Linked DNA regions of Kluyveromyces lactis. The protein of the gene in region 7 purifies or fractionates together with the protein of the main gene of each other region. This does not show direct contact. Links are inferred from orthologs where the notes say so. Each region holds a gene or a part of one and is shown on either strand. Other genes may lie near its edges. The genes, in order: KRE33, KLLA0_F13222g, UTP10, ECM16, UTP4, PWP2 and RRP7.

Region 1 (4,448 bases), on a different chromosome or scaffold from region 7:
TTACCATATATGTATATTTTATTCTATTTTACAGCATTTATTTTTTACCTTTCTTCTTGAACTTCCTGGATGGTGCCATCTCTTCGTTGAGAATTTGTTCTGCACTTTCTTGTTTTCTCTTCTTGCCGGACTTGATGGCCACAGTTCCTTGGGATTTGACAGCTTTTGACAATTCTTTGGAAGATTCTTCCCAGCCCTCGCCAGTTTCATCAATTTCATATTTATTTAGGTTCAAGGAATTGATCAATTCTTTCTGCTTTTCTCTCATTGCGCTGATAGCTTCGTTCCCTGCATTTTCAAGGTCATCTTCCATTTTGTCAATGACTTCGGCAGCATTGTAAGACAACACTTCTTCGCCATTCATTTCGGCAATTTCTTGGTCCTTGATTTGAGGTAAGGTTTTTTCAATAGACTCGCTTAAAACTTCCCTGAAGAAATTGGTGAATTTCCTGATAATCTTGGAGAACATGGCAATAGTTTGATTGGATGGTAAGTTCAACTCTTTCGTTATGTCATCAATGCCCTTGTGTTGCAAACCAATTGCAAGTAGTATACACGATTGTACGCTTGATAATGATACACCGTCACCCAGCTTTCCACTAAAGTATAGCAATGCCATCATTGGTAGAAGATCAACAATGACATGATAATCCAGTAAGTTGTTAGCATAGCTTTCTAACCTCTTTAGATCGAATGGAGAAAAGATGGAATCCAATTGGTCCCTTGTTAAAACCTTATTCTGGAACGATCTGCCCTCCGAGTCTTGGTCTAGTGTTTCACCCTTCTTAGCAGATTCAATGACATTTAACGCTTCGATGGCAGTGAATTTCTTAAAGTCGAACGATAATAAAGACAAGAATCTTTTATGGAAATCTTTGGCAAATTCTGCCAGCCATTTTGATTCACGACCTTCAAGAACTTTAACCATAACACATGTATGTTCACCAGTCAAATCATTCGCTGTTTGACGTAAGTAAACTGGGACAAATCCGTTGTTTTTCCAGAACTTATGTAAAGATTTTGTTAAACCATATGAAACACCTAAGTAATGCAAAAAGTGAGGGGTTTGTTCTGAGAGTTTCAGAAGCAATGGTGGCAACGTCTTTGCATCCCTTAATTTGATTTCATCTTTCAAGAGGTCTGCTTTCTTCAAATCCCTGTCATCGACTCTCTTGATTGTGTAGTCCTTTTGTACCGTATCTTCATTCAAATCGGTGAATTTACCTTCGAAATGATCTTTCAATAACTCCAGAGCCCTAGACCCATAACCCATAGAGGCGTATTCCGGATTGGTTGCAATCCTAACAACACGGGCACCACTCAAACCGGCAAATTCTTCATCTTGAAATTGCTGTGAGATTAGCCATGGAATTAAGTCACCACCAGCTCTTTGACCTCTTGCCAAAGAATTTCTGACAGAATCCTTCGAGATCTCACCTTCCAATGCGACCTGGATGACCACTAAGGGATCAGGTATTCTGCCGCCATCTTTTGGATCGATGGGAGGCAATAAAACGAATAGTTGATGAGCAGGTGCATCACTCATTAATTGCAAGTCGTTAGGAGAATTCTTGTAATGCGATGCGACATAAAGAGCCATCATCTTCTCCAGAAAATTTTCAGAAACAGGATGATAAGAAAATAGAGTATCTCTATTGACGATGAATAAATTACATTGAGATGGATGAGGTGTGCCTCTAGCAGCAAATCTTGGATTTTTGATTAGTTGAACGTCCAAACAAAGTAATTTATTCAACCATTTTTCAACTGGGTCACCAGGAGCGTATCTGATAGGTTCATCTAAGACAACTTCTCTCAAAGAACGGCCACTTGTTTGAACTTCTTGTTTCTTTGAATCTCTGGAAACAAGTGCTGTTTCGGAATCTTCACGGCCAGTACCGTTGGATTGAGTTCTTAGCTGTTGAATCAATTTCAAAGACAAAGATCTACCGGTACCTTCATAACCGTTAATAGTGGATGCCATAAACACTAAGTACGGACCCAAAAGCTTCTTTACAAGTGGTAGTGGAATTGCGGCAGCTTCATCAATGACAACAAGTTCTGCCTGTCCCAACACATGAGAATCATTTGGAATAATATATTGAATGGTCTGTCTATGTTCTCTCTTGATGTCTACTCTGACTATGGCTTTGTTGAAGCTTGGATTGGTGGACTGAATGATATCATAATCAATGTGCTCCTGATAGCCTAGAGCGTCAAATCCTTTGAAAATAAACTCAAATAAAGTCTTCAAATTCTCAGGGGAAGGAGATGTTACAAAGATATTGGAGTAACCATGGGATACAGCAGCAGCAATAGAAATACCTAGAGCAGCTGATTTACCTCTACCTCTACCTGCCGTCAATGCTACAGTTGAATTTAAAGTTTTCTCTGAAATGGCATCAATGAAGGTCAAGATTGCATGAGCTTGATTAACCGTTTTTGAAAGAGCAACTAATGATCCCGCAGGCTGAACATCTTCTAAAGACACTTTCAATTCTTTTAGTTCTTGATTTTTTGGTGAAATTTCTTCATCATCCTTTGGTGGAAGTGGTTTTACGTTTTTTCCTCCAGATATAGGTAAAACGTTTAACTCACTATCTACTACCAAACAGTTTTCATTCGAACCCAAGGACAAGATAAATCTTTCGTTGAATCTTGCCACGACATCGTCATGAGCTTCCGTTCTATAACGAGAGTGGATATCCATAGTCATAGTGTATAACTGTTTTAGAGAGGAAATGGACTTTAACATGATAACAATGATACCACCACCTTCAACGGTTTCGATGGTTCTTGCTAGCAAATTTGGAGTCAAAGCTTCAAAATCTTGTAGGATACACATACCATAAGTGTTACCCAAAATTTTTTCAGTTTCCTTATAATAACAGTATCGAATGTTTTGGTTAGAGATGAAAGTTTCAAAAGGATCTTGTTCATTTATCTCTCTGGTACCTCTCTTGATCTCTTTCTTAATCTTTGCTTCTCTCTTCTTCCTGTGTGAAGTGAAACCCAAGAGTTTCTTCTTATACGTCCATAACACGGATTTATTCATTTTGAGGTCAGCACTCATCATTAAATAGTGCAAGTTCGGTAGCTGGTTACGAGCATTGTCACCAACGATAACGAAAAATGATCTCTGATTTGTTTGAACACCATTTCTGATGAGAGCTGGGATACGAGAATCAATAGCTTTTTTACCCATCGTAATCTAACTTCTGGTTTAAAGTTTTAAGAACACACTCTTTAACAACAAACAATGACAGTTACGTTTCGCTGGAAGTTCGACCGTTGGGAAGAGTTAGTGTTTTTAATGATTTTTTTTGTAGTAACGAAGTACAGTAATCAGGTATTTTGGGGAGAAATAAACGTCTCGTAATACTCAGATAGCTTCTCAGCAAACCACCTCATCTCATTTGATCTCATCTCATCTCGAAATAAAATTCCTACCTAATACGATGAAATAGTAAAAAGACAATGAAAAAAAAAAAAAAAAATTAGGCAGAGAAAAGAAAAGATACTACTTACCCGGAATTATTTGATGAAAATATACTGTTACCCGCATGAATTTCATGCGCAGTGTAATTTCGGCGGCTAATTTCAAGAAATGACTACGTGTGCATAATGCACCATTATGTGATGTCGACTAATATTTTAAATTCATATTTAAACTTCAGTAGTAGTTTTCATGGGTATTAATTAAAGTTTTCTTCATGACTGACGAAAAGGGAAAAACTAACATTATATAAATACCAGTATTTTTGTGTCACAAGGAATAAGGGCAATATTCTTATGAAATAGATCCGATGAATAAGATAAGAGGTTAAGAACTGACATCAGAACGAGGTTCGATTATAAGGTTGTTTCTTTACCTGAACAAGCGCAGTTGTGGTTATCTCTTATACGGAACGTACGATTCCTAGGTTTTATTTTGGTTTTATTTTTTCGTGGTCATTCAGGTAAGCTCGGCGGTTATTCCATAGCAATAGCCAGGAGGAGAGTGAGAGCTAACTATATTTTCTTTTAATAGGAACAGAGTATAGTTTTATGTGATCAAACTTGCTATGATGGAGGATTTGGACCATCTGAACGATGAGAATATCAATATAGATGAGAACGAATTTTTGGAAACACTTGATAATGCTGACGGGGACGTGATCAAAACTTTTAGGAACGCTGACGGGTCATTAAGTAGTCATTTTGACAAGAGAAAAGTTCGTATTGCTCCAAGGTCAACATTGCAGTTCAAAATAGGCCCAGGCTTTACGCCAGTGGTGCCCAATCACAAGATATTGAACGATTTTGGACAGATTCAAGAAATCAAATTGGAGCCTCGGATTGATCGAGGGTTTGATTTCATAGATGACGATTGGATTGGTTATAAAAGAAATTATTTCACCGTGGTAACTTCATTTGACACACCGGGGACTGATCATATCGAGTTCATG
Region 2 (4,685 bases), on a different chromosome or scaffold from region 7:
TCCAAGAAAGTGTAGTAGGTAGAATACAGATAATTGTAGTTTATGGTTATGCTTTAGTCGAGTAGTTTCGCATCAGCAGCAGTGGTAAAACCAAGGAATAAAAAATAAAATCAAAGGAAGTGAAAATGAGGGTTAACTTGGGAGTTCTGTTGATCCTCCGATGATTTCCTCCAGATCAGCTAGCGCCGTCTCACTGAAAAGTCCATTCTTGGTTACTCTCATATGTTCAGCAGCAGCTTCGGCGATACTGTTTCTTCTTCTCCATGCGGCAACATGGCTCATTTGTTCATGGTTAAAATCAATTTCTTCAATCGGGGCAGTCAGAGAAACCAGGAGATCTGCATCGTCACTGCCTAATAGATCAATATCTCCATCTTCATCTCCATGATGAGAAAGTATTAAATCATCATCAGATTTCAGCAGTTGATCAATTTCATCCATTCCTAATCCCTTCACAGAATTCTTCCTCGTTGGTAAAACCAGACCGTTGAAATCATTAGGTGTGTTTCCAGCATCTGCATCGGTGAAAACACTTGAACTTGGACTAGCCAAATTCACGCTAGAGGGAGTTTGAATGTTGTTGTGAGAATCTGCGTTGGGTTCAGTTTCAGTTTCTTGTTCAGGAGCAGTGAGCAATTTTTGCTTTTCAATTCTTTGCCTTTCCCTTCTGATTTTCAAGAGCTTCTTTTTCTTCTTTATCTTCCGTCGCTTTTCATCTTTCTTTCTTTGGTATTCCTTCATCTTATCGATCTTCCTTCTAGTCCTTTCACTACCAACGTAACCAATTGGGAACTTGCGTGCTGAAAACACAGGAAGCATGTATTCGTCTTCTTGATGTTCGAAGTTGATGCCTTTATTTCTGAAAGCAGATAATGGAACAGATGGTTTGTGATACCAGGTGGCAATCTCTTTATTCTTAGAATTCGAGTCAGCGCCATCTTCATTGTTTTCATCTTCAAGCTCACTCATATTCAACAATTCGTTAAGGGTTAGTTCCTCTTTTTCGCCTCCTGATCCGATACCATTATGTGATGAAACGTCTTCGACTTCAATTCTTGGATCTAAAATTTGTTGAACTGGCGGAATAGCAGGATACAAAGATTTAGTGGAAAGGCCATCAATGATACTAAAGGGCTTGTTATCTGTCTGCCAAGTTCCAAGTTTCGGAGGCTTCAAACCAACAACGTTGGCACTAACGACTTCTTTTGCCTTAGTCCCAATTTTGCGTCTTGTATTTGGAGGTGGTAAAGTGTCATCTTCATCAGTGGATTCGTCATCTACAAAGATGACACCTTCCACATGGTCATCTGGAGTGTCAGGATAGCTCTTAGCTTCTCCAGCTTCCTCATCTGATAACGAATCGTAATGAAAGTAGAAGCCATCTGGATCGAGATCATCAATATCAATGAAAACGTTGGTGACACTCATATCGTCATCATCTTCTTCAAAGTCATCTTCACCATCTGAGTTTTCGACTTCGTCTAGCTCCAAGCCATTTTCATCCTCTTCATCTGTAGGGAGGTGGGCGATATCTAATAGAATATCTTCGTACTCTTCATCTCCAGATGAAAGCTCTTTATCAGATACTGCCACGGTACTGAGCCTACGCAAAGGAGATTCAAGGTCATTGGTAACTTTAGGTTTCTCGTCATCGCTTTGGAAAAATAACCCAAATACGTACTCATCTTCTGCAAGATCTGGAGTAGCAGAATGTTCACGTTTAGACTTCTTGGAAGTCATTCTTCTTTTCAACCTCTCCTGCCTTTCCCGCTGTTTTAATTGCTTACGCTCTTCCCTCTTACGCTTCTCTTCGCTTAACACTAACGGTAAAGATGTGCTTAAAGTTAAGGGTTGGTCGCTGCCATCATAGTAATACAGATTGGAAAACTTGGGATCTTCATAAAAGGGCATATCGAAATCACTCATGATTGCATCATCTTCATCGTCCTCGTCGTATTCGTAATCATCGTCGTCATTTCTGGGTTTCCCATCTCTATACTTTGATTCCACCTGCGAATCATCGAAAGAAGAATGATCATCACGTTCAAGCTGTTTAACCATATTCTGTTCTTCAACATCCAGAATAGCCATATCGTCATCACCAGTCTCAAGGCCGTTATCTATACCGGTAATATTTTCGTTATCATCATCAATGGTCTTGAAATATGCCTCTTGATCGATATTATAATCTGAATCCTCACTATCTGAAAATTTCGGTACCGCCAATCTATCGACATTTGGTTTAATGGAATCTAAAGGTTGTTTCACATCTTTATCCTTGACTTCCTCACCTAAATCTTCATCAGCCTTCTTGGAGGCTACTGAAGCATCACCGAACTTGATCCCATCGTCGCCTTTGAAATTGAATGACAGTTCAGGAGCATCTGATAGTTCAGAGCTTGAAATGTCCTCATCATTCGAATCCGAAGCTTCACGATTCTGCTGAGCCCTATTAGGAAATCCACCCTGTTTACTATTACCTTTATTGTTGCTGTTACTGACGACAGTTTCTGCAGGTGTCTTGCCCCTCTTCAAAGCGTTCAGCTGTTTCATTGCGTTTTTCTTACGTTCCGCAGTAAGTCTCACAAAATCCACGTCATCGTCTGAACTAGTACTCGAACTGTCGCTATCATCATCGTCATCATCGTCATCGTCATCATCATCATCATCATCATCATCATCATCATCGTCATCATCTACTGCCATTGTACCTCCTTCATCCTCCGAGAGAGACTGGTAGTCTGAAGACGCTGTAGCACTGTCCGAACCTGATGTGATGGCTGAGTCCTGATTCGTTGATATCAGCTTTCCGTTCTTACCCATCGCATTCGAAGATCGACCTTTTAGCTTAGTTCCGGCTTTGGGATTCTTATATAACGGTAACTTGGACAAATTCGAGCCCCTGCTGTTCGAATCCTGTGGTATATCACTCAGCGACGAATCACTAGAATATATTAGACTGAAACGTCTCGGTCTAGAACTTAAATGCGGAGGCTTATCCTTCTTATTTCCCATTTTATCCTGTAACGCTTTCAGAGTCGTAGGCTTCTTCCCACTAGTTAACTTCCTCGGGCTTTTACCTGACATAATATATATGTGTTATCAGTTGCAATTAGCAGCTGCAATAATGGTATTCTACTCTTTAGTGGACTTTTCTATATGCACCTGGATCAAATCAATAGGCTCAACAATTTAATAAAAAGAAAACCAAAAGAAAAAAAAAATTTCTAGGTTATAAAACGTTTTATCCAGTTCAACACAATCTTTAATAACTAGCTAATCAACAGTAAGTGTCCTGGGATCACACACAATTCAAATCTTTATTCCTTATTCCTTATCCTTTCTCTTCGCAGATAAACGACTAGTAGAATGAAACCAAAAAAAAAAAAACCGAAGAGCAGGGAAATCTATTCCTGAATATTCCTGATCTTACTGCACTTCTAACCTAGATACGTAAAATTTTCCACTATCTTTACAGCCAGCGTTGGTAGGAGAAACTCTGATTTGATCAAAGACAGAGACAAAGACAGAAACAAGGTTATTCTCTGCTTTTTTTACACACTATTTTATTCTAGTCCCAATTTCTTGAGATGAGCTCTAAGTTTACTTTTTATTTCTCTGTTTTCCTATGAAAATTGGTTGAGAAGATAATGAGGAAAAAAATTTCTTTTGTTGTACCGGGTAATGTTCTGCTGTGTTTGAAGATTGCCAAGATACGTAATTTGACGTTTGACGTTTGACGTTTGACTCTTGGATATGGGAGATCAGATGTCTGGGATTAATGACGACTCGCATCTATTCACTCTGTTAATCATTTTTTAAATTTATCTGAATTGGATCTATGGACTTATAAATGTTGTTTCTACAAGTGATATTGCACGTTCGTCATCTACCTCGGTTCTTTGACAGAACTGATATAGATATGGGTTGATTCCTTCCACCTTTTCCACAATGCCTTTCAATACCGTGGGCATCTCTTGTAATATATCGTACACATTGATTAGATTTAAGGGCCCCAATAGTAACGTGGGGCATAGTTCACCGTCTTTTTTGGGTAACGGAATCTCTACGATGTTTGGATACTCTACTCCGGTCTTGGGATCCAGTGTTAGCCCAAAATGTTTCACATGCTTATGTTTATCCTGTATACCGCAATATATGCGCTGTGATGAGGTTATCTTGTTTGTGTCCGACGATATGGTCACTGTTTGTTCACCGTATTCTTTTGGCGTTGTAAACTCCATACATAAAATTGTCCGTCTAGGTGACATGAAAGCAGCGAAATTCCACGATTTGGCAGCGCTGTTAGGTTTAAGGCCTTGCAATGCAGTGATGAGGACCATAGGTACTGAGTGAAATTTTATCTTTTTCGAGTTCACCACTATATGCCCTGATCCAGTACAATTCGGAGCAAATACATGTCTGATACACCTGTCGACGTTTGGGTTGCCCCTCATGGGAACTCTCGAGAAGAAACTCCTACCATCGGGTTTGATCTTGAATCCCTTGCCTATATTCACATCTAAACTGATGGACAACTCTTCCGTTTGACCTTCGACACTTAATGTGCCTATCCTTGATTCATTCGGAACCGCTTCAGCTCCTTGATAAAAATTGCGTGAGCGTTGTTTCTTTCCAACAGTATCTTCGTCCCAACTGGGGTCACATTGTTTCCGAAATATGAA
Region 3 (4,717 bases), on a different chromosome or scaffold from region 7:
TTCTCATCCTTAGGTTGCTTCTTCTCATCCTTAGGTTGCTTCTTCTCGTCCTTAGAATGTTTCTTCTCATCCTTAGGTTGCTTCTTCTCATCCTTAGGTTGCTTCTTCTCATCCTTAGAATGCTTCTTCTCGTCCTTAGAATGTTTCTTCTCATCCTTAGGTTGCTTCTTCTCATCCTTAGGTTGCTTCTTCTCGTCATCACCCTTGTCATCGTGTTCCCTATCTTCCTTATGTCCCTTGTGGTGCTTCTTACCCCATTTCAACTTCAATGGTTCAGATTCGTGATACAATTCACCATCGATATCTCCAATGTAAGCTTGGAAACCGTATCCACCAACGTAGTATAGATCTTCCACTTCAAATTCGTAGAATGCACCATCATGGACCAAACTTTCTTCACCAGGTAACCATGGGATGGCATCTGGGTGTCTTTTACCGTAACAGTCTCTCAAAGCCTTGGTCGTTTCAAGTTTCTTCAACGAACCGAAAAGATTGGCACGAGGAGAACTCATAGCGTGATGTCTGGGCCTTCTGTCCTCCACGGTAATAGAAAGCTTGCCGTTATCCTGATAGTTTCTCAAAGTGGAGGAAACGTTCATCAAGACCAAGATTGGGTTACCTGTGGAATTCACACCCTCACATAAATCAGAAGATACATAGTATTCTGGGAAAGTCACCGGAGTCTTTCCATCCTTCAAAGTAGAAACATGAACCAAGTCACCATACTTAACAACACCTCTAGCAACCTCAGCAGCGTATTCACGAGTTAGGTTGAACTCTTTCTCCTTATGAGAGGACTCTCTCAATTTCTTATCGCACCCTTCGCGTGCAGAAACGGAATCTAAAGCTAAAGCCAAAGATAACAACAAAGTACTACACTTCATGACTGAATTATTAATGGCTCAATAACTGATGTCGTTATTTGGATAAACAATCTCTCCGCAAGTTGTAACCCCTAAGCTCATCGCTATTCAATCTTGATAGAAGGTTCCTTAAACCTGTCGTTGCCTATATATAAAATAAACGGTACAAAATTTATAATGCGGTAAATTACATAATGCAAACTAAGGTAAGGAAGGTGCTCAGCCTCAAACTTCCGAAAAAGTAGTTTGTTTACCAGAAGAAAACATTTTTGCAGTTCACCCAAGCCTTTGCATTGAGATTGGTTCGGACGAACCATCCGCCTAGATCTCGGATCTAAGTTTAATCGCAGAGACATCGCCGCATAACCACATCGCTCCAGCCAGGTGTGTTTTTCTTTTGTTCTTATATGAGCCGGTCCTTTGCTGAAAAGCCAGTCTGAACGCAGGCCCAACGCACACAACTCACACACACCCTCAAATGGAAACGTTGAGGCATTGCTAAGTAGATAGCTGCTATGAGCCTTGTTTATGCCAAACATGCTTATACGGTTGGCTGAGATCCGAAATTCCTCAGAAACTAGCCATTACTTGTAGTGTGACCTTGCACGGCACATGATGTATTGAAACAACTCTTAAGTCTGTATGTACTTCAATAGATCCGAAAGCAGGTGGAAACTGACCAGTAGCTTGCATATTGAGCTACGGGGAGACTTGACCCAAGTTTATGGTATCACTCCATTTTCATACACGTGACCATAAATGAATTTCTTTTCACCGCAGCATGAACAAATCGAAAATTTTAAAGAGTGAAAGAAAAAAAAAGTAGCGATGAGATGAGATGAGATGAGGTTCAAATCGTTGGCTTTGCAATCATCTCCTGGCGATAGATTTTTGATCAGGTTCGACTTGCTAGTACTCCAGGCAACGGCAGAGACGATATAGAATGTCATCTTTACGTGATCAATTAGCGCAGGTAGCGCAGAATAACGCTACTGTTGCTCTTGATAGAAAGAGAAGACAAAAGTTACATTCTGCGTCTTTGGTTTACAATCCGAAGACTGCTGCTACTCAGGACTATGAGTATATATACGATACAGCGTTGGAATCGTTTCATACTTTGGTGAGTTTGGACTTGAGGTTCAAAGTTTTCACTAATTCCTTATTCAGTGCATCTTCCGTGACCATTGATAGAAACGTTCAAACAAAGGATCAGATTAGAGATTTGGATAACGCAGTTAATGCGTATTTGATGTTGATTTCGCCGAAATGGCATCTAACTCCAGCTTTGCATGCTACGGAATGGTTGATTCGTAGGTTCCAAATTCATATCCATAACGCCGAAATGCTTCTTCTATCTACTTTGAACCAATACCAAACGCCGGTGTTCAAAAGGATCCTCAATATCGTTAAGCTACCACCTTTGTTCAACCCATTTACCAATTTTGTCAGAAACGATAAGAATCCAACCGATTTGACGTTGATCAAATTGTTTAACGATATGGACTTCTTGAAGCTTTATTCAAATTATCTGTCCAAGATTATCAAGCAAAAAGTTACCTATACGAATCAACTGCTATTTACCACATGTTGTTTCATTAACGTGATCGCTTTCAATGCGAACGATGAAGATAAGTTAAATAAATTGGTCCCATTGATTTTGGAAATTTCCGCAAAACTTTTGGCATCGGATTCAAGCGATTGTCAAATGGCTGCTCATACTATGCTCGCGGTACTTGCCACCGCATTGCCTTTGAACAAAAGCATTATCATTGCGGCTACGGAAACTATCTTGGCCAATTTAAAGGAAGACGATGCTAGAAAAAAAGCTCTCGTCACAATCTCAAAACTTTTCCAAACCTTGAAAGGTGTAGGTAATGTGGATCAATTACCGGTCAAGATCTATAAACTCGTTGATAATTCTTTCCCATTCGAATATCTACTACAGTTCCTGAGTAATGAAAACAAATATTCCTCAGATAAATTTTTCACTGCATACATTAGGTCTGTCATCAGATATGATCATGATAAATTGAGTCAAATTGTCAAAATCTTAAGGAAGATTAAGTTGGAAAAATACGAAGTTAGATTTATCATCACTGATTTGATACATTTATCTGAAGTTCTAGAGGACAAGTCACAATTAATCGATGTTTTTGAATACTTCATTTCCATTAACGAGGGACTAGTTTTGAAATGTCTTCAAGCACTAAACCTGACCGGAGAAGTTTTCGAAATAAGATTGACAACTTCATTATTTTCCGTCAAGAACAGTGCGGAACAATCTGGTGAAGATATCATTAAAGTTCTAGATGATGCTAAAGCATCAACCGCGAATGGTTCAGCTGTTCCATTTAAAGATTTCATGACCAAAAACTCAGAGTTCATCTCCACTAAAGCGGAGTCTATGCTTCTTGTTAAAGATGAAAAGTTTGTCAAGCTGTTGTCATTATTTGTGGAAGCTGTAAGTAAAGGATATCAACCAGGTCTATTTTTATCCTCCTTCTTCACTACTTTAGAGAGCAGGATAACGTTTGTGCTCAGAATCATCGTATCCCCTGGTTCGCCTGTTGCTCTCAGATTGATTTCACTAACACAGTTAAGCAAATTCATCAATGGTATAGATGAGCAAACGGATCTTTTCTCTTTGGTACCTATTCTAGTGACAGCATTGATGGATATTTCTAGATCTGTTCGTTCCAACACGAAAAAGGTTCTACAACAGATAGCCAAGAGACCTTTCACAGCAAAGTATTTCCTATCTAACGTACTCTACGGAGAGAATTTAAAGGTGCCAATGTTAAGTCCGAAAGATAGCAAGTTTTGGTTGACCAACTTTTTAAGCGATTACATCGTTGAAAGTACAGATATTTCATCCCTCGTCATTCCATCCAAAAATGACATGGTATATATGCTGTTTTGGTGCAACCAGGCACTGCATCTTCCTCTCGCCTATTCGAAGACTATAATGTTAAAGCTCTTGACCGCTGTGCCACAATATGCTTTTACATATTCAAAGGTGTTCGAACAATTTATGGCCACATACATCACGGAAAGAAGTTCCTGGGAAACGAAGTGCATCAAAAATAAAACCAATTTCAAAGACTTCGAAACTGCGGTATGTGCCATTGTTGCACCAAAAGAAAAAAACAGTTTCGCGATAGATTTTTTGATTAACTGTTTGGAATCAGAATATGAACAACTTTCGAATATCATGGCAGACAGAATTTTATCTTTGTATCCAACATTGAAATTCCCAAACCAATTAAAAATTGTTCAGAGTATAATAGACTCCTCAGTTGACAAAGAACTATCATATGATGGTCTAGAAACCCTTCAAAGTCTTCCATTAACTGCAGATATTTTTGTCTCTGTGTTGAAAAGTAATACCATAAACAGCGAAGATCAAACAGATTTGACTAAACGTAGAAGAAGAAGATCGTCTACGGTTAACAAGTCCGCCCTACAGAAACAAGATATTTCTCAAATTGCCGAAGCCCACCTAAAGAAAATGACTATTATTCTGGAGACTTTGGATAAATTGAAGGTAAAGAGTAACGAAAATCTATTGAATGCCTTATTCAACCTTTTGTCCGACTTGGAAACTTTAGACCATGATGGTGGTTTGCCTGTACTTTACGCTCAGGAAACTCTGTCCTCTTGTCTTTTGAACACTATTTCTTCTCTAAAATCTAACAACGGAAGTATGAAATTACCCTCTATTAGAGCAGATATACTAGTCGCTGCCATTAGATCATCAACATCTCCTCAAATGCAAAATAAGCTCCTATTAGTTGTTGGAGCATTGGCTTCAGTATCTCCCGAAACTATATTACATTCTGTCATGCCTATTTTTA
Region 4 (4,438 bases), on a different chromosome or scaffold from region 7:
TCAGCTTCGTGATCAGGATAGTCATCTAATTGTCCTTCATCTTGTGTCTTGGGCACAGTATCCATGATACCAAGCTCTTGTTCAGATAAAAACGGCTCACCTACTGAAAGGGCACTGACAATGGTAACAACATATTTCAAACAGTCGCTTTCATTACCAACAAGCAGCATTTTAGAAAATCTTGGACTTAGCGGAAACAAACTCATTGCTTTACCATCATCAGTGATTCTTTCATTACTGTCGAGTGCACCTAGGTGTTGTAAGAGCTTTATTGACTTCATCAAAGCTGGTCTTTCGGGTGGGGTAGGGAATGGAAAATTCACAATATTATGAACAGCCATGCTCTTCATTTGCAAAACTATACTCTCCACAGGCATTCTTAAAATTTCAGGCTTAGAAAACTGCTCAAAATCTCTTTCGAAAACTGCAGAGGAGTATAAACGATAACAATGACCAGGCCCTGTACGCCCTGCTCTACCACTTCTTTGGCCAGCAGAAGCTTTGCTAATCCAGTCAATTTCGAAACTCTGAACACCATTATTTTCATCAAACTTTCTTTCCTTTGATCTACCACAATCAACGACGTATCTTACTCCCGGTATGGTCAATGATGTTTCTGCCACATTAGTAGCAACAACACATAATCTGGAGTTTGGTGGGGGATCAAGGAAGACCTTCATTTGCTCTTTGGTGGGCAATAGCGAGTAAAGAGGAAGAACATATAGTGGATCTCTATCCGTCTGACCTTCTTCAAGTGTTTCTTCAAAACCTTCTTCTTCGTCCTCTTCTTTGTCCTCAATATCTTCCTCATCAGAGAGTAAACAATCGTCAAATTCTTGTTCCTCTCTAACTCTGACACTGAAGTCGATATCTTCAGCTTCTACATCTGCAGTTTTGGCATCTATTTTCACTGTAGGTATGTGGTCATTTTGAATGAGAGTTTGATGTTTCTTGGGGAAAGGAAACTCTTTTCTTAACCTTTTTACCATGTGCGTGATCTCTTGCTGTCCTGTCATAAAAACCAAGATAGCACCAGGAGGCAACCTTTGATGTATTTTACACGTCTTCCTGAAAGCCTCTTCAGCATAGTTATAAGCTGTTCTACGATTGAAATGTACAGCCACTGGATACTGCCTGGCGTCGACCTTTAAGACAGGTGGAGAAACAGGGAATAAAGTAGGGTTTTCACTAAAATCTGATACTCTCAAGGTGGCAGACATGATAATTAGTTTAAGTTTTTTGTACTTAGCCGGATCAGTTGCATGCTCCTTAGCACGTAAGCTGACACAACGACTTAACATACCAATCAAAATATCTGTATTGATGTTCCTCTCGTGAGCTTCATCGATAATGATAGAAGAGTATTTAGAAAGTCTAAAATCGTTCATCATCTCTCTTAGCAAAACACCATCAGTCATAAATTTCATTCTTGTTTTATCCTTGGTAGAAGAATCGAACCGAATTTGGTATCCTACATATTCGCCATGATCACCCATCTCATTAGTAACACGTCCAGCCATAGAGACAGCGGCCACTCTTCTAGGTTGTGTTATTCCAATCATCCCAGGCGTGTCAGTTGAGGACGAATTACCATATCCTGCCTCGTAAAGAAACTGCGGTACCTGTGTCGTTTTACCTGAACCAGTTTCACCACAAATGATTACAACGTCATTATGATGGATAGCTTCCATAATTCTATGTTCCTCGGCGAAAACAGGTAGTGCGCTTCTCACAGCTTGAACAGCATCAGATCTCCGTACCTTGACATAAAAAGCCTTACGTGTTGAATTTTCGTTCACATTAAATTCATCTGCTTTGAGTCCATCTTCAAAGTCTTCAGGTCTCTCGGTCCTATCGACCTTGATGTTGGAGGAAGGCATAACCATTTCTACATCTCTACCTTCAAGCTTTTTAATTTCCTGATTTGCCCACTCTTTAAATTCTTGGGCAACTGAAGAACTTACGTTTCTGCACTGCGCTATTTCTGAATCCGATCTTTCCTCGCCGTCAGACTCACTCGACTCATCATCGCTGTGACTATCAGCATTACTATTAGATTCACTCTCATCAGGTTCACTTTCTGCAGTGGATGAATGTTCTTCTGATTCACTTTCGTCAGATTCAAAATCCTGATCATCATCCAGTTTACGCCTTCTACGTTCTTCTTGCTCTACCTTTTGCTTCCAGTTATACCTTTTCTTCGAGGCCCTTTTATTCACCACCTTTGCATTACCGAATCCAAAACCAAAACCTGACCCACCAAATTTACTGGGTCTATTATCAATAAATCCCCCAGTATTTGCCGAAATAGGGTGATCTGAACTGGTATGGTCCGTTTCATCACTATCCGAATTGCAATTTTCAGCTGTGCTTTCCTGACTGGGCCTAGTTTCTGGATGATCTTGATACCAATCCCTTACCTCAGTTTCATCGTAAAGAATTTCCCTGGTAGTTTCATCACCACGTCCATTTCTTTCTAATTTGAGGGCTTCTTCAATCCCTTGCCTCTTAGTTTGCCTTCCTTGTCCCAAAATCTTAGAACTTGTCAAAAGCTTAGTATCAATTTTATAGTCCTGAAGTTTTTCTATCAAAACTTTTTTCTCCTCTCTTTTCAATTGATGCTCGATGAACTTCTCTAACCTTTTTTTCTTCGTCCTAGAGACCTTCGTTTCCTTAGGTGTGAATAGCTCTTCCAATTTACGCTTTTTCTCTTGTTTCTCTTCCTCCGTCATGGGTTTCAATACAGCAGCGTTCGTATCTTCCTGATGATCGGGTGATTCATGATGTTCATCTTCAGATGAATTACCTTCTTCAGAATCAGCATCGGAAGAATTTTCAAGTGCACGGGTGAACTGCCTATTCCTTACTCTCTTCAACTCCTTCAACTTAGACATCTGACCCGCGCGTGCTTTCTCATTCCAGCGCTTCCTATAGGTACCCATGTTTGTTGTTCAATTTTTTGACCGTTTAACGTGCGAGGTACTTCTCTTGACTGTTAATGTCACAGAGGCCTATAACATTCAGACTACCAGCCTGTTATCAACGAGATTTTGATATATAGATGCAGGTGAGCTTGGATGCGATGAGATGCGATGAGCTTTAAAGCTTTTTCTGCCATAAAGGAAGATGAAAAAAAAAAAAAGAAAGTCGCTTTCAACGTTTTGATAATTCAAAGATATAGGCAATCTTTTGTACATTTAAGTTCAAAGAGCAGTTGATTCCACCGTTAATTGGGTTTTCAAGTACTCATTAAATTTGGGAAACGTGATAAATCGCATTTTTTGCCTCTTTTCAAATCATTAATGAATGGTTCCCAAACCTGATAAGCACAACAGCTCAACAGAGGATGAAGAAATATATGGTATTCTTGACAAGCCTAATATTAGGCACGTCCAATTTGGCTTGAATAAAAGATTTGCAACTTGGTACGGGAGTAATGTTTATTTTGGAAGAAATAAGAGGACCTTGGGCTTCAAGGAATCGAACAATGAGCACACCGCAAAACAAAGCCCTACTGAAAAGAAGTTTGAAGATCAGTATTGGATTGATACCCTATACGTATGTGAATATTGTTTCAAGTACACTGATGATGAAGCAGAGTTAATCGCACATGAGTGCTTTTGCCGATATAAGAATAAGCCACCCGGTAGAATAAAATACAGAAGCCCCGAATACACTATACGAAGGGTAAAAGGTTCTAAGCATGAAGTTTTCTGCCAATGCTTATGTCTATTTACTAAGCTATTTCTTGATAACAAGTCTGTCTACTTCAAAGTTAAGCATTTCGAATTCTATATTGTGTATGAGAACAATTCTACAGTACCGATGGCATTTTTTTCAAAAGACTTATATTCCTACCACCAAAATAACCTTGCATGTATTCTTGTCTTTCCGCCCTATCAAAGAAGAAGATTGGGTACTCTCTTGATTGAGTTTTCCTACACTTTATCAAGATGTCAGGGTCTGATTTCGGGTCCTGAAGTTCCTCTATCTCCTTTCGGTTTAATTGGCTATCTTAAATTTTGGTCTTTCTCAATAGTTTGGCAGTTGACTGAAGGTAATTTGAAAGATGTGGCCCAGGTCACTTTGAAGGATCTTTCCGAGGCCACTGGTTTTAGAATCAATGATATAATTCAAGCTCTCAAATATCTTGATTGTTTAAGTGATTCTGAAATAAGACTCAATATCATCCGTTCATGGGCAAGACGCAACAAGGTATCCCATGGATTTATGATCAAAGATGAATATCTACTACTTGATGATTAACGAATTAAATAACAGCTTAAATGCAAAGCCCTAAAAGGCTTCTATATGATTGAATGTCATGATAGTCTATTGAAACAACATTTGGATTTCCTCGATCCTCTTCTGTCTCCTTTCTGCCTCATCACCCTCAACAATATCCCCTAACATTCTCTTTCTTTCCTGTATTCTTAAC
Region 5 (4,493 bases), on a different chromosome or scaffold from region 7:
GTACAACTGAGAGAACGAATTGCATGGTATCAACTTGAACTGGTGAAATTAAGCGGTATCTTGCAGGGTCCAAAAGAGCTTAGGAGTTTAAAGCGGATGTTTCAGGTGATTTTTTTGGTTTACTGTGTTTATAAATTGACTGACGTGTGGCTTGTAAAAGTGCCTAAAATTATAGTACACTCATTTAAGTTTCCAACAGATTTTAGTTATGAATTCTTCGACAATAAAAGTACTGAAAAGGACCCCTTAGCTGTCACATTCGCCAATATGTTTGACTTCTTGGTTCTAAGATTAGAACATCAAAATGACATGGATTCGTTAATCAAACAGATATCCTTGATATTGTCCATCTCGTTGTTCGTGTGCTCTCTTTCTACTGTCACTACGACAATCTCTTATCTTTTGACATTACTGCCTGTCAAACTACAATTATTAGCGTTATCTGCAATGCAGAGTACCAATGGCTCTGAGCTTCCTACGAGCAATAAGGATGCATTCTATACCAAGAAACCCCCTTCGATCATCAAAAACCTCGCTGTGTGTGAGTTGACAGGTGTGTACATCCTTGCCACTATCTTGATGATTCGCTCCAATTTACCATATGATGTCTCAAAACAGGTCAATCAACTCTTGGGTGAGAAATTCACTATTCCTGATGTTGTAATCGACGTCTGGTCTGATAAAATGTTCGCTTGCAGTTCGCTCTTGACATTCATTGGTATTAAGGTAGCAGAAAGAACACTACACAGATGATATGCGGCGGAATGATGACCCTATGTTAAAAATCAATTTCGCGATGAAGATCGAGTTTATAATAATGTACAGAAATTATAAATTAGAATACTAACTTTTCTAATTCAAATGCAGGAGGTTGGGAGATCAAGAAGTTTGGTCTTTCCACAATGATTAATTGGTCACTTGCGATCTTTCCAGCGAATAATAGAGGTCTATACTTATCGGTATAGAAAAACGCCTTATCAGATCTCTTCTTGGAGGTGACATCTTGCGCTCTCTGAGTTTTTAAGAGATAATCTTCCTTAACTTCGAGTTCTTCATCGTCTTCATCATCCTCATCGACGTCTGCCTGTAGACCGTCAGTGGAAATAGTTAATCCGTCACGGTCACGCTTCTTTTGCTTCTTTCTTTTGCTAACTGGCAAGTCTAATGACATGTTGATGTTAACCAACCAGTTAGATCCCCAGAACCATACCTTATGCTCATCCATTTCATCTAAGAATATTCCTGTGCATCTCTCTTTCAAGGAAGTAAATTGCCTTGGGAGGTTTTCATGATTGGCTTTGAACCAGTCAGTGAGTAGTTGATCCTTCTCGGATTCCAAATTGAACTCGTATATTTTATTTTCTGATGTCACTACTACTACAGTCTCTCTTGGTGTGATGCACAGTGCAGTGATGAAGTTGTTCATGCGAATTAAAGCTTTACTACTGTTTGTTGTCAAATCTATTAAGTCTAGAGCACCGGTACCTCTAGACGCAACAGCGTAACGTTCATTTGCATCTAAATGGTTCACTGCATTCAAATATGATAGTTTATTGCTGGATTTCGTTGAGTTCGCTTCAGGTAACTCAATAGTTACGGTTTTTTCGTCGTCATCCTCTTCAAGGTCAATTCTAACTATTTCATCAGATTGTGAACACATTATTAACCTAGAATCATCAATGAACTTAGCAAATTTGCAACCAGTTCTCAACAAAAACTCATTGTCCAACTTTGTTACTTTCAATTTGTTGTCTGTTGGTTGTAAATGGAAAACTTTGGTAGTATTTAGTCTTCCCACTAATAAAACTTGTCCGTCAGTTGATAGTGCACAGGTTTGGATGTTTTGTTCATCCTTCAAAACCAATTTACTAACTAATTTGTAGTTCTTAGGCTCATTGACGTCTTCGCCAATATACCATATCTTCACGATATTATCCTGCCACATCACCAATAGTCTTTGTTGTTTGTTGACCAGGATGCTCTTATGGAATGGGGTAACTAGTGGCATCTTTCTATAATTTCCTTCAGCGAAAGAGGACATTGAGCACATGACAAGAGACTTTTCAATACCACCAGACACTAGGAAGTCGGATCCCATACATTGATAAGAGGACATAGATCTAACATCATTGGAATGGAATAATCTGTTTGAAGTACTGATCCATTTCATGCTCTTTCCTGTATCGATGTAAGAGAATTGGAAAATCTTTCTATCAACACCACTAGTGAACAATTGTGAATTATCCAGATCAGTAGCCAGACATAGAACATCGGCATCATGAACCTTGAAAGATTGAGTCAATGTTGCGTAGTTTAAGTCCCAGAATTTGACCGACCCAGTAGAATCACCAGACACAATTTGGTTCTGTTTAGCTAGATACAACACAGACCATACGAGTGTAGATTCTTTCTTCGATTTATCCACTTTCATAGTATGTAATAGTCTTCCCTTGTTTTCGTCTTGCTCCTTAGTATACCATATTCTAATCCTTCCATCAGAACAACCAGCGACCAAAGATTCATCATTGGCTGTCCATGTCAACGATAAGACACGAGATTCTTGCCTTGTAAGTATGCTCTCATGCTCAAGAACACCTTTACCACCACTGATGTTAATAAGTACTACACTGCCGTTATCACATCCGACCGCTAGCTTATTCATATCGTTGCTCATTGCAATGGACCAAATCACACCAGAGTTACAATCGTAATTTACTAACGGCAACCCGGTTGTCAAATCCCATTCTGTAACTACAGTGGAGCCACCGATCGAAAATAGTCTCAAAGGCTCTCCACGAATACTGCACCAGGAAAGACCTTCAATGGATCTTCCTTCACCTCCCAAGATCACGAACTCTTGTACCCAATCATCTCTTGGATTCCAGATCTCAATATTACCATTGGATCTACCAATAGCCAGTCTTAGCTCTTGCGGTGCCGCTTTATCAGTACTTTTGTGTGAAAATGCAAGAGCCGTTATATTACCAGGTGTAAACTGCACAAACCTGGATCGATGCACTACCTGTTTCTTCCCAGTATCAGTCATGATCAAATGTGTTCTATAAATTGAGGACCTTAAACCTGTATCAGAGAACAAAAGCTAATGTATTAGAATGAAACAAAAGATTGACAAACTGTAGGCTGATGTCAATCAAAAAACTTCACTGACTAGATAGAAATATACGACTTTGTTATCCGATGAGATGAGCTTCTGTTCTAAGCTTGTGTGCTCTTAACGCTGAAATTTTTCAAAAAGAAACTAGTTTAGCTTCAACACCGTACAGTATGATCATATCACGTGATATATTAGATCTATTGGGAAAACGAGATTTGTTTACAATTGGATCTTCTCTTCACATAAACAAACTAATAAACAAAGAGGAAAAGGAAAGTGGAAGAAACATCGGCGGCAACCTCATAGCAGCCTTTCCCTGGTGTATACTCGTGGTATTATTGACCAAAAGGGTGCAATTGTTTGATATGGATGTTCAGGATGGAGAATCTCCTACAAATCGTCGTGTTCTGAATTCTATAGCGGAGGTTTTCCAGGTGGCGCAGAAGAGTTATGCTGGTCACAGACGTCATGTAGCTGTCTTATACAGGATTTATTTGAAATGTGTGGAGCAAGAGATATCAGATGTGTTTCATTATTGGTTTATCAAAATGACTGTCAAAATCTTGCCGCTGAAGAAACAGGAAATCGTGGGGGATCGCATTGTTCGGTTGATTTCAGGGTTCATCGCAAATATAGAGTCGAATCTTAACAAGATGAGAACCGAAGATGGTAATGAGCAAAATGTGAGGAATTTGGAAGTACATTTCGGAGGATTTATTGATGGATTTGTGAGGAATCTGCTTCGAGGAGTGGAATCGAAAAATAAAAACGTACGATACAGAGTAATGCAACTTTTGGCCGCAACTATGGATAATATGGGAGAAATTGATGAGGAATTGTACGAGTTGATTATGTGGGTTTTGAAGCATAGGGTGTATGACAAGGAACCTCATGTTAGGATACAGGCGATATTTTGTTTGACAAAATTTCAAAACGATAACGTATCGATGATTAATGAATCAGAAACCGGAGTAAATTTCCAACTCGATGAAGCTACACAGAGTTTAATGCATATCATTAGGAATGATCCAAGTCCAGAAGTTCGGAGGGCAGCAATGTTGAATATTGTACGTTCGAAAGCGACCCAGAATGTTATCTTGGAACGGGTACGAGATGTTAATTTCATCAATAGAAGATTGGTGTTTACAAGAGTACTAAAGAGTTTGGGGAAGCATACGTTCGATGAGGTGGATTCTGATATTTTAGAGAAACTGATGACCTGGGGGTTTGAAGATAGAGATGAAACGGTTAGAAATTCTTGTAAAAAATTAGTTGCCTTCACCTGGTTGAACATCCTGGACGGTGACATCATCGATTTATTGGAGAACATTGACGTTGTGAACTCTACATATGCAGAACAAGCACTCTATGCACTATT
Region 6 (4,580 bases), about 680 kb from region 7:
TAATAAAATTGCTCGTGCTAATCATTTAATGGTTGCATGGAGAATCAAGGGAGAGAACGGTGTCAGTTTCCAAGACTGCGATGACGATGGAGAAACAGCTGCAGGAGGACGAATGCTACATTTGATCACAGTGATGGATGCATGGAATGTAATTGTTGCCGTTGGAAGATGGTTCGGAGGAGTTCATATTGGTCCAGATAGATTCAAGCATATAAATTCAACAACTAGAGAAGTAATATTGAAGGGGCATTTCACAGAAGCTGCTACCTCTACTTCAAGTAAGAAGAGGTCAAAATAGTTCACATTTATAGAATGGAGTATTGTTACCGGAATTTGATCTACTCTATTTATTATATAAGTCGGCGAAAATAATATACAAATACTAGTGTCTCATTTAGCATCCTGCTATGAAGTTTAATTTCTATTCCTTTTTGACTTCTTCTTATTCCTCTCAGTATTACCATTACCATTGGATTTCTTCTGTTTCTTAGTCTGTGTTTCGGCTTCCCATAGCTTTTCTAAATCTGTCGTCGACACATCGTCCTCGTCCTTTTCTTCAAAACTTCTTTTCTTATCATTAGAACTCCCATCTGAACCGGGCGTAGCTCGTCCGAGTTTATTTCCGAATATTCTTCTTCCTGCATTTACACTAGTCCGTAGTGTGCTTGTGCTGAGATCGTTTGTATCGATCTTCGAATCCTCATCATTCAGTGACTTGATAGCAGAGAAACCTACGTTCTGTACCACTTTTGATTTATTAGCAAGTTTTGTCAAGAGTTTTACATTGTCACCTATCCTCCATTCTGACGAGTCCACCAATTTCTTTATTGTCTCCTCGGTCTGTTTAACTTTGTCTGCTTGTTCCGCATGCTTCATGAACTTCATGTTCATCACTCTATTGGATAACTTGCCTGTGACTTCATGCCGTTTCTGTCCACTCATTGTTACCTTTTCGTCTTAGTGCCCCTATTACCGCTTTCAAATAGGCTTCACTATATCATTGACACTGGAATACATTTTTAATGTATCATTAAAGTCCTAATACAGCTCATCTCATCAATCTTCTGCTGAATGGTTTGATCTTACATATTAGAATTTCATGAAAAGTTTGTTTACGATTGTCCGGAAAATGAAAGATAGCAAGAAGATAGAAATATCCATGGTTAAACCCCGTCGGACGTATTTCAGAATGCAAGGATCTGCACTATAAAAGGAACATTGTACAAAAATAAATGAAATAAAAAGGTCATTGGTAAAAGTATGAAAACAGCTATAATGAAGTACTCATACTAAGTTTCAAGTGCTGACATAAACGACAATCCACCCAAAAACCGACATGTTTCTGTTCTCTCTTTCTTTACTTCCGTGCTAAAGCTGTATATGTTTTCCTTTCTTTTTCATTCAGCATACAGGATTTCGAAAAATTTAAGAGAAAAAATTGAGCGATGAGATGAGATGAGATGAGATGAGTTCAAGCAGGAAGTGCAGACGGATTATCAGTCACTTGTAAGGACTTTGCATTATAATCAGTTGTTCAATTTCAATTAGTTGGAAGGAATCAGGTCAGACGAGCTTTATAAGGGTTTAGTTACGGATGAAGTCTGATTTTAAGTTTTCCAATCTTTTGGGAACTGTTTATAGGCAAGGTAACGTCTTGTTCTCTCAAGATGGTTCCAAGTTACTTTCACCGGTAGGTAATAGGGTGTCGGTATTTGATTTGATCAACAATACTGCTTTTACCTTCGAATATGAACATAGGAAGAACGTTGCCGTTGTAGATATCAACAAGCAAGGTACGTTACTTCTTTCCATTGATGTCGATGGTCGTGGTATCTTGGCGAACTTTAAGACAAGAAACGTATTGCATCATTTCAACTTCAAAGAAAAGGTTTATGACTTGAAGTTTTCACCTGATGGCAAGTTATTTGCGCTGGCTTGTGGGAGATTCTTACAAATATGGAGGACACCCGAGACCACTGAGGATAGACAGTTTGCACCTTTTGTTCGTTATAGAATCCATGCCGGCCACTTTTCTGATATAACTTCCTTGACATGGTCAAAAGATTCAAGATTTATTATATCCACATCCAAGGACCTAACGGCAAGGATATGGTCAGTTAACTCGGAGGAGAAAAATCTTGCATCGACGACTTTTGCAGGACATAGAGATAACGTTATCGGAGCATATTTCAGCGATGACCAGGAAAAGATATACACGGTCAGTAAAGATGGTGCCTTATTCCAATGGGAATACACCAAAAAGCCTGGTGAAGGGGAAGACAATGATGAAGATGAGGAAGATGTAGATTTGTCAAAATATAGTTGGAGAATCACAAAGAAGAATTTTTTCCATGCAAACAGAGCAAAGGTGAAGTGTTCTGCATTCCATGCTGCATCCAACATATTAACAGTCGGTTTCTCAAACGGTGAATTCCGACTCTATGAACTGCCAGAATTCATCATGATTCAACAACTTTCAATGGGTCAAAATGCAGTTAATACGGTTGCCATCAACAGTTCTGGTGAATGGTTGGCTTTCGGTTCTAGTAAACTTGGGCAATTGATAGTGTACGAATGGCAATCAGAGTCATATATTCTAAAACAACAAGGTCATTTCGATACGTTAAATGGATTGTGTTACTCCCCAGATGGATCGAAGATTGTCACAGCAAGTCACGAAGGTAAGATCAAGATTTGGGATGTCGCGTCAGGTTTCTGTTTGGCAACTTTTGATGAACATGCAGGTGGTGTAAGTGCAGTAGAATTTGCTAAAAAAGGTCAAGTTTTGTTTTCAGCTTCTTTGGATGGTACCGTGAAAGCATGGGACTTGATCAGATATCGTAATTTCAGAACGTTCACTGCGACCGAAAGAATACAGTTCAACTCATTAGCAGTTGATCCAAGCGGAGAAGTTGTATGTGCCGGGTCGGAAGATAGCTTTGACATTTTTGTTTGGTCAGTACAGACTGGTCAGTTAGTGGATACACTATCTGGCCATGAAGGTCCTATCTCCTGTTTATCTTTCAGTAATGAGAATGGAGTTTTGGCATCCGCTTCATGGGATAAAACAATTAGAGTGTGGTCTCTCTTCGGTAGAAGTCAACAGGTAGAGCCTTTTGAAGTATTTTCTGATGTTTTATCTATTTCTATGAAACCGGATGGTCAACAAATAGCTGCAAGTACTCTAGCGGGGCAAATATTATTCTTTGATGTTGCTGAGGGCAAACAGGTGGGAAATATTGACGGCAAAAGGGATATAATCTCGGGTAGACATTTGGAAGATCGGTTCACATCAGAAAGTTCAGCAAGATCTAAATATTTTACCACCATTCATTACAGTTTCGATGGTCTCTCTTTGGTTGCAGCCGGTAACAATAATTCCATATGTCTTTATGACATTCCAAACGAAGTACTGCTAAGAAGATTTACCGTATCCAAAAACATGATGTTAAACGGCACCATGGAGTTTTTAAACTCAAGTAGAATGACAGAAGCAGGATCTTTGGATCTCATTGATCAAGATGCAGAAAATTCAGACTTGGAAGATCGCGTAGATAACAGCCTTCCTGGTTCGAATAGAGGAGGTGACTTATCGACAAGAAGAGTCAGACCGGCGATCAGAGTGACGTCTATAAGATTCTCTCCTACTGCTAATGCATTTGCCGCCGGTTCAACAGAAGGTTTACTTGTATATTCCGTTGATAATACTATTCTTTTTGATCCTTTCGATCTTGACGTCGATGTGACTCCACAGAATGTTATCCAAAGCTTAGATGACAAGGAATATCTCAATGCCATACTAATGGCTTTCCGTCTAAATGAGGGCTATCTAATCCACAGAGTATATGAGAATATTCCAATAAAGGATATTCCATTGATAGCTCACGAGTTGCCAGTGGTTTACGTATCAAGAATTCTAAAATTCATTGGTGAGTACGCTTTAGAATCACAGCATTTGGAGTTCAATCTCCTTTGGATCAAATCTGTACTTACAGCCCACGGCAAATACATTTCTACTAATAAGCATCAATTCTCTAGCGCATTGAGAGCTGTCCAAAGATTTATTGGTAGAATGGCAAATGACGTCGTCCAAACATACAAGAGAAATAAGTACACATTAGACTTTTTGACAAATACCGATGGTTCTTCAACTAACGCTGTTGACGAGGATATGAATCTACTGGGCAATGATTCAGACAACGAATCTGAAGACAAAGAGGATATCAACATGGACGACGATTTAGATGGAGGTGAATGGGTTGGATTCGAGGAAAAAACTATTAATCTTCCTGTTAATGACGAAGATTCTGACGACGAAATCCTACTATGAAATCGGGATACTTCACTAAAAAGAGAATATATATAATTCCTAGCATGATAGATATATAAAATCACATCTCATTAATTTCAATAAAACAATCATTACCACGAATTCACATGGAGATTTTCACTGTTGTCCGTTTTTAACTTACGTTATTGCCTCTTAATCTGATAAGTTACATGCATATTAAAAATTCAAAATTGTTAAAAACCTTATAATTCAGGAACAGTTTTGAGATGAGATGAGATCAGATGAGATG
Region 7 (3,385 bases):
TATGTTGCAAGTAAAGTCGGTGCTTCAAAGATCGTATTAGCAGGTGGTGCACAAGCTATTGCTGCAATGGCCTACGGTACTGAATCCGTTCCTAAAGTGGACAAAATCTTAGGCCCTGGTAACCAGTTTGTTACCGCAGCAAAAATGTATGTTCAAAACGACACTCAAGCTTTATGTTCTATCGATATGCCAGCTGGTCCAAGTGAAGTCTTGGTCATTTGTGATGAAGAAGCTGATGTTGACTTTGTTGCATCGGATTTGCTATCACAGGCTGAGCATGGTATTGACTCTCAAGTTATTTTGGTAGGTGTCTCGTTATCTGACTCGAAGATTGAAGCTTTACAAAATGCTGTTCACGAACAAGCTATGCAGCTACCTAGAGTTGATATTGTTCGTAAATGTATCGCCCACAGCTCAATCATTCTATGTGATTCTTACGAAGAAGCCTTCAAGATGTCGAACCAATATGCTCCTGAACATTTGATTCTACAAATTTCAAATGCCGAAGACTATGTCAAAGATGTGGATCACGCCGGTTCCATTTTTGTTGGTGCTTATACTCCAGAATCATGTGGTGATTACTCTAGTGGTACGAATCATACATTACCTACCTATGGTTATGCTAGGCAGTACAGTGGTGTGAACACAGCCACTTTCCAGAAGTTTATCACTTCTCAAGTGGTCACCCCAGTCGGTTTAGAACATATTGGTCATGCTGTGATGAGTGTTGCTAAAGTCGAAGGCTTGGATGCTCACAGAAACGCAGTCAAGATCAGGATGTCAAAGTTGGGCTTACTACCATCAGGTTTTGAATAATATAGAACTAACTTATTAAGATTTGAATTTAATATCTAAAAGAAAAATAATGCTATGTTTGTATAGAAATGAATAAACTTTAACCATTCGAATTGTTTAGAAGCTTACTCCAGAAGCACGCGTTGAATGCATGAAACTTCCCCAGAGATTTGCATATTCAAAGTATCAAAATATTACTTCACGTGACTTCTAAATACAAAAACAATGGAAATCTTAATGAAAATGCTTGATACCGCATATCATCATCGCTAGAGTTGAATAAATTGATGATATAGAGCTGTGACTCCGCGTAACGTACCAGCAACCCATTAAACATGCAGGTTAACCATCTATTAAGGCAAGCTGTCAAACAGACCACTAGAGCGGGACGGCTAGGTTCGAGGAAACCTCACAAACCGCTCTTGCCTCCGTTACAATTGTACCGTAGAATCCTCAGAGAACACAGAAACTTACCAACGATGCAGAGAGAGTTGGGAGATCAATATGTCAAGAATGAATTCAAGTTGCATAAGAGTACTGACAATCCCTTATACATTGTTGGATTCTTAGCCTCATGGCAGGATTATCTGCATATGATTACAAGAGGTGAATGGGAAGAAGGAACTTTATCCACTGACCTGCTTGAAAAGATGTCACCAGAACAAGTTACCCAGTTGTACGAATTGATGAAAGAAGCTGAACAGCTGAAATCAGGTGGTGAATGATCTTCGGAAGGTTGTAAGACAGACATTTCCCAAATATTATATCTTTCCTCCAAATTCTCTCAAGTAGTGGGTGAGGAGAAGGGTTTATATACTCAACTTTTTGTTGCACGTGACTTCAAAAGACTTTCGTCTTATATTGAAAATTTTCTTCTCGACACTATTTAGTAGTTGTGTAATGAAAACTATGATTTAAAGTTAGTAAAGTGATGAGAAGAGATGAGCTGAAGAAATTCGCTTCAACAACTTTCAACGAATTTGTTTGGGTTATACACCGATCAAGATACCTCTCCACACACTTTCAATACGAAAGAATGGTTCTTGAACAGATGCAAAATGGCTTCCTAATTGTGCCGTTTTTACTACCTCAAGTAAAGAGTTTAAACCAGAAACCGACGAAAGTATATCATTATATGTTTGTGAGAAAGCATCAATCAAAACTGGAAAATGAACAACACTGCTTATTCCTAGTTAATCTACCTCTTTTAACACAACTCGAAAACTTGAAGAAAAATTTCCAAGAGATCTGTCATCAGAATGAAACCGTTTCGCATGTGCAAGATCTACTCTATCATGATGAGTTCGGATTACATGATGTTGACTTATCATCATTGACTTCTCATTTAATGAGTGTTGATGAACCTAGTGAGAAAAGATTTACGCCAAGAAATACTGCATTACTACAGTTTGTGGATAAGCAGTCCGTAGAAAACTGTTGGGAAGCACTAAGGAAATACTCTTCTAGCAAGAAGCAACAACAGATACTGTGGGAATTTCAATCCCCATCAATCGAGACATTCACAGCATTCTACCGTCCATTACCGTTAAAATATTTGAAAACGGATATACATGAACATATGGCTCTTTTCGAACAAAGAGAACAGCAAGCTCAAGAAGAAGTACAATCATCTATTGTTGATGAAGATGGTTTCACATTAGTAGTAGGAAAGAATACAAAATCATTAAACAGCATAAGGAAAAAGATATTCAACAGAAATCCATTATTAAAGCATGAGAAACCTAAGAAGATGCCTAATATGGTTGACAAGAAGGCAAAGAAGGACTTCTATAGATTCCAAGTCCGTGAAAGAAAGAAGCAGGAAATTAATGAGTTGCTAGCCAAATTCAAGCAAGATCAAGAAAAGATAAAGGAGATGAAGTCCAAAAGAAGGTTCAACCCGTACACATAATTATTTGAGAAAACTTTCCTGATAAGGTGCTCTATTTGTTATTTACTATAGTTGAGAATGTGTCTTTGTACAACATACGTAACTCTTATAGAAAGAGATAATTAATCTATCAATACAATTATTCGTTCATGAAAGCTCTAAAATGAAAGTTTATGGTTGCTTGCCAAGTGTTTTTTCCAGTTGATGAAGGAGGAGATAACAAACATTATAGCCTACCTCCCGGTGTTGCTGCCATTTCTCCCACTTCCTCAAAGTCACCTTTTTGTCTTAACATAATTGCAGGATGCAGGCCTTGTTGTTTTAAAGACTTGAAGATCTGTACTGGTTTTTCATCGAGATCAAGAACTCGTTCTTGATCTCCATAGCATATCACTAAAACATGCTGTCTCCAATCCGTTTCATTCAAATTGTGCCTCTTCATCGCATTTCTTAAAACCTTTTCACATGAATCCTCCTTTGAGGCACGTAATTGTTTCATAGGTTCTGAACTTGGAGCTGATGATACTCCAGCTCCGCCTGGAGTATTCGCCGATCCGGGTGTGGTGGCAATATGTGACGATGAAACATTTCTGGTGCTTGAAGATTGTGGTGGCAGCCCTGGATTGGAATTCGATCTGTATTTGGGTGATGATGGCGTGTGTGAAGAATGGTGTGGAGCTCTATCGAAGTAATCTTGCG

What was found.
Region 1: the proteins of RRP7 (region 7) and KRE33 purify together in Saccharomyces cerevisiae (affinity purification with mass spectrometry; 3 studies listed by BioGRID). This does not show direct contact. The link is inferred for Kluyveromyces lactis from reciprocal best matches to the Saccharomyces cerevisiae genes RRP7 and KRE33.
Region 2: the proteins of RRP7 (region 7) and KLLA0_F13222g purify together in Saccharomyces cerevisiae (affinity purification with mass spectrometry; 3 studies listed by BioGRID, with this or other methods). This does not show direct contact. The link is inferred for Kluyveromyces lactis from reciprocal best matches to the Saccharomyces cerevisiae genes RRP7 and IFH1.
Region 3: the proteins of RRP7 (region 7) and UTP10 purify together in Saccharomyces cerevisiae (affinity purification with mass spectrometry; 3 studies listed by BioGRID). This does not show direct contact. The link is inferred for Kluyveromyces lactis from reciprocal best matches to the Saccharomyces cerevisiae genes RRP7 and UTP10.
Region 4: the proteins of RRP7 (region 7) and ECM16 purify together in Saccharomyces cerevisiae (affinity purification with mass spectrometry; 3 studies listed by BioGRID). This does not show direct contact. The link is inferred for Kluyveromyces lactis from reciprocal best matches to the Saccharomyces cerevisiae genes RRP7 and ECM16.
Region 5: the proteins of RRP7 (region 7) and UTP4 purify together in Saccharomyces cerevisiae (affinity purification with mass spectrometry; 3 studies listed by BioGRID). This does not show direct contact. The link is inferred for Kluyveromyces lactis from reciprocal best matches to the Saccharomyces cerevisiae genes RRP7 and UTP4.
Region 6: the proteins of RRP7 (region 7) and PWP2 purify together in Saccharomyces cerevisiae (affinity purification with mass spectrometry; 4 studies listed by BioGRID, with this or other methods). This does not show direct contact. The link is inferred for Kluyveromyces lactis from reciprocal best matches to the Saccharomyces cerevisiae genes RRP7 and PWP2.

The regions. Positions count from the first base shown.
Region 1 is NC_006042.1:2,271,672-2,276,119, forward strand, and holds KRE33 (ribosome biosynthesis protein KRE33), read right to left. Parts: upstream 3,206-4,448; coding exon 38-3,205; downstream 1-37. Other genes in the region: transcription factor NDT80, read left to right, coding at 4,065-4,448. UniProt on the Saccharomyces cerevisiae protein: RNA cytidine acetyltransferase with specificity toward both 18S rRNA and tRNAs. Catalyzes the formation of N(4)-acetylcytidine (ac4C) at positions 1280 and 1773 in 18S rRNA.
Region 2 is NC_006042.1:1,219,081-1,223,765, reverse strand, and holds KLLA0_F13222g (uncharacterized protein), read right to left. Parts: upstream 3,088-4,685; coding exon 133-3,087; downstream 1-132. Other genes in the region: KLLA0_F13200g (survival factor 1 family protein), read right to left, coding at 3,840-4,685. UniProt on the Saccharomyces cerevisiae protein: Transcriptional coactivator that together with FHL1 regulates the expression of rRNA and ribosomal protein genes. Its activity is negatively regulated by environmental stress.
Region 3 is NC_006042.1:1,973,397-1,978,113, forward strand, and holds the start of UTP10 (snoRNA-binding rRNA-processing protein UTP10), read left to right. Parts: upstream 1-1,806; coding exon 1,807-4,717. Other genes in the region: KLLA0_F21164g (uncharacterized protein), read right to left, coding at 1-884. UniProt on the Saccharomyces cerevisiae protein: Involved in nucleolar processing of pre-18S ribosomal RNA. Required for optimal pre-ribosomal RNA transcription by RNA polymerase I together with a subset of U3 proteins required for transcription (t-UTPs). Involved in ribosome biosynthesis.
Region 4 is NC_006042.1:1,596,955-1,601,392, forward strand, and holds the start of ECM16 (ATP-dependent RNA helicase ECM16), read right to left. Parts: upstream 2,943-4,438; coding exon 1-2,942. Other genes in the region: SAS2 (histone acetyltransferase), read left to right, coding at 3,307-4,266; DNA helicase RAD5, read right to left, coding at 4,333-4,438. UniProt on the Saccharomyces cerevisiae protein: Probable ATP-binding RNA helicase. Required for 18S rRNA synthesis. May play a role in restructuring of the pre-rRNA.
Region 5 is NC_006040.1:1,131,232-1,135,724, forward strand, and holds UTP4 (small subunit rRNA maturation protein UTP4), read right to left. Parts: upstream 3,047-4,493; coding exon 836-3,046; downstream 1-835. Other genes in the region: KLLA0_D13200g (uncharacterized protein), read left to right, coding at 1-753; condensin subunit YCG1, read left to right, coding at 3,286-4,493. UniProt on the Saccharomyces cerevisiae protein: Involved in nucleolar processing of pre-18S ribosomal RNA. Required for optimal pre-ribosomal RNA transcription by RNA polymerase I together with a subset of U3 proteins required for transcription (t-UTPs).
Region 6 is NC_006039.1:782,942-787,521, forward strand, and holds PWP2 (snoRNA-binding rRNA-processing protein PWP2), read left to right. Parts: upstream 1-1,594; coding exon 1,595-4,330; downstream 4,331-4,580. Other genes in the region: YIH1 (Yih1p), read left to right, coding at 1-298; MPP6 (Mpp6p), read right to left, coding at 415-942. UniProt on the Saccharomyces cerevisiae protein: Required for bud-site selection and cell separation. Also involved in nucleolar processing of pre-18S ribosomal RNA.
Region 7 is NC_006039.1:106,227-109,611, reverse strand, and holds RRP7 (Rrp7p), read left to right. Parts: upstream 1-1,726; coding exon 1,727-2,707; downstream 2,708-3,385. Other genes in the region: HIS4 (trifunctional histidinol dehydrogenase/phosphoribosyl-AMP cyclohydrolase/phosphoribosyl-ATP diphosphatase), read left to right, coding at 1-816; SDH7 (Sdh7p), read left to right, coding at 1,131-1,520; STE50 (Ste50p), read right to left, coding at 2,913-3,385. UniProt on the Saccharomyces cerevisiae protein: Plays an important role in the synthesis of 18S rRNA but is not required for the 5.8S and 25S pathway. Is necessary for the cleavage at site A2. Is required for efficient association of RPS27 with the pre-ribosomal particle.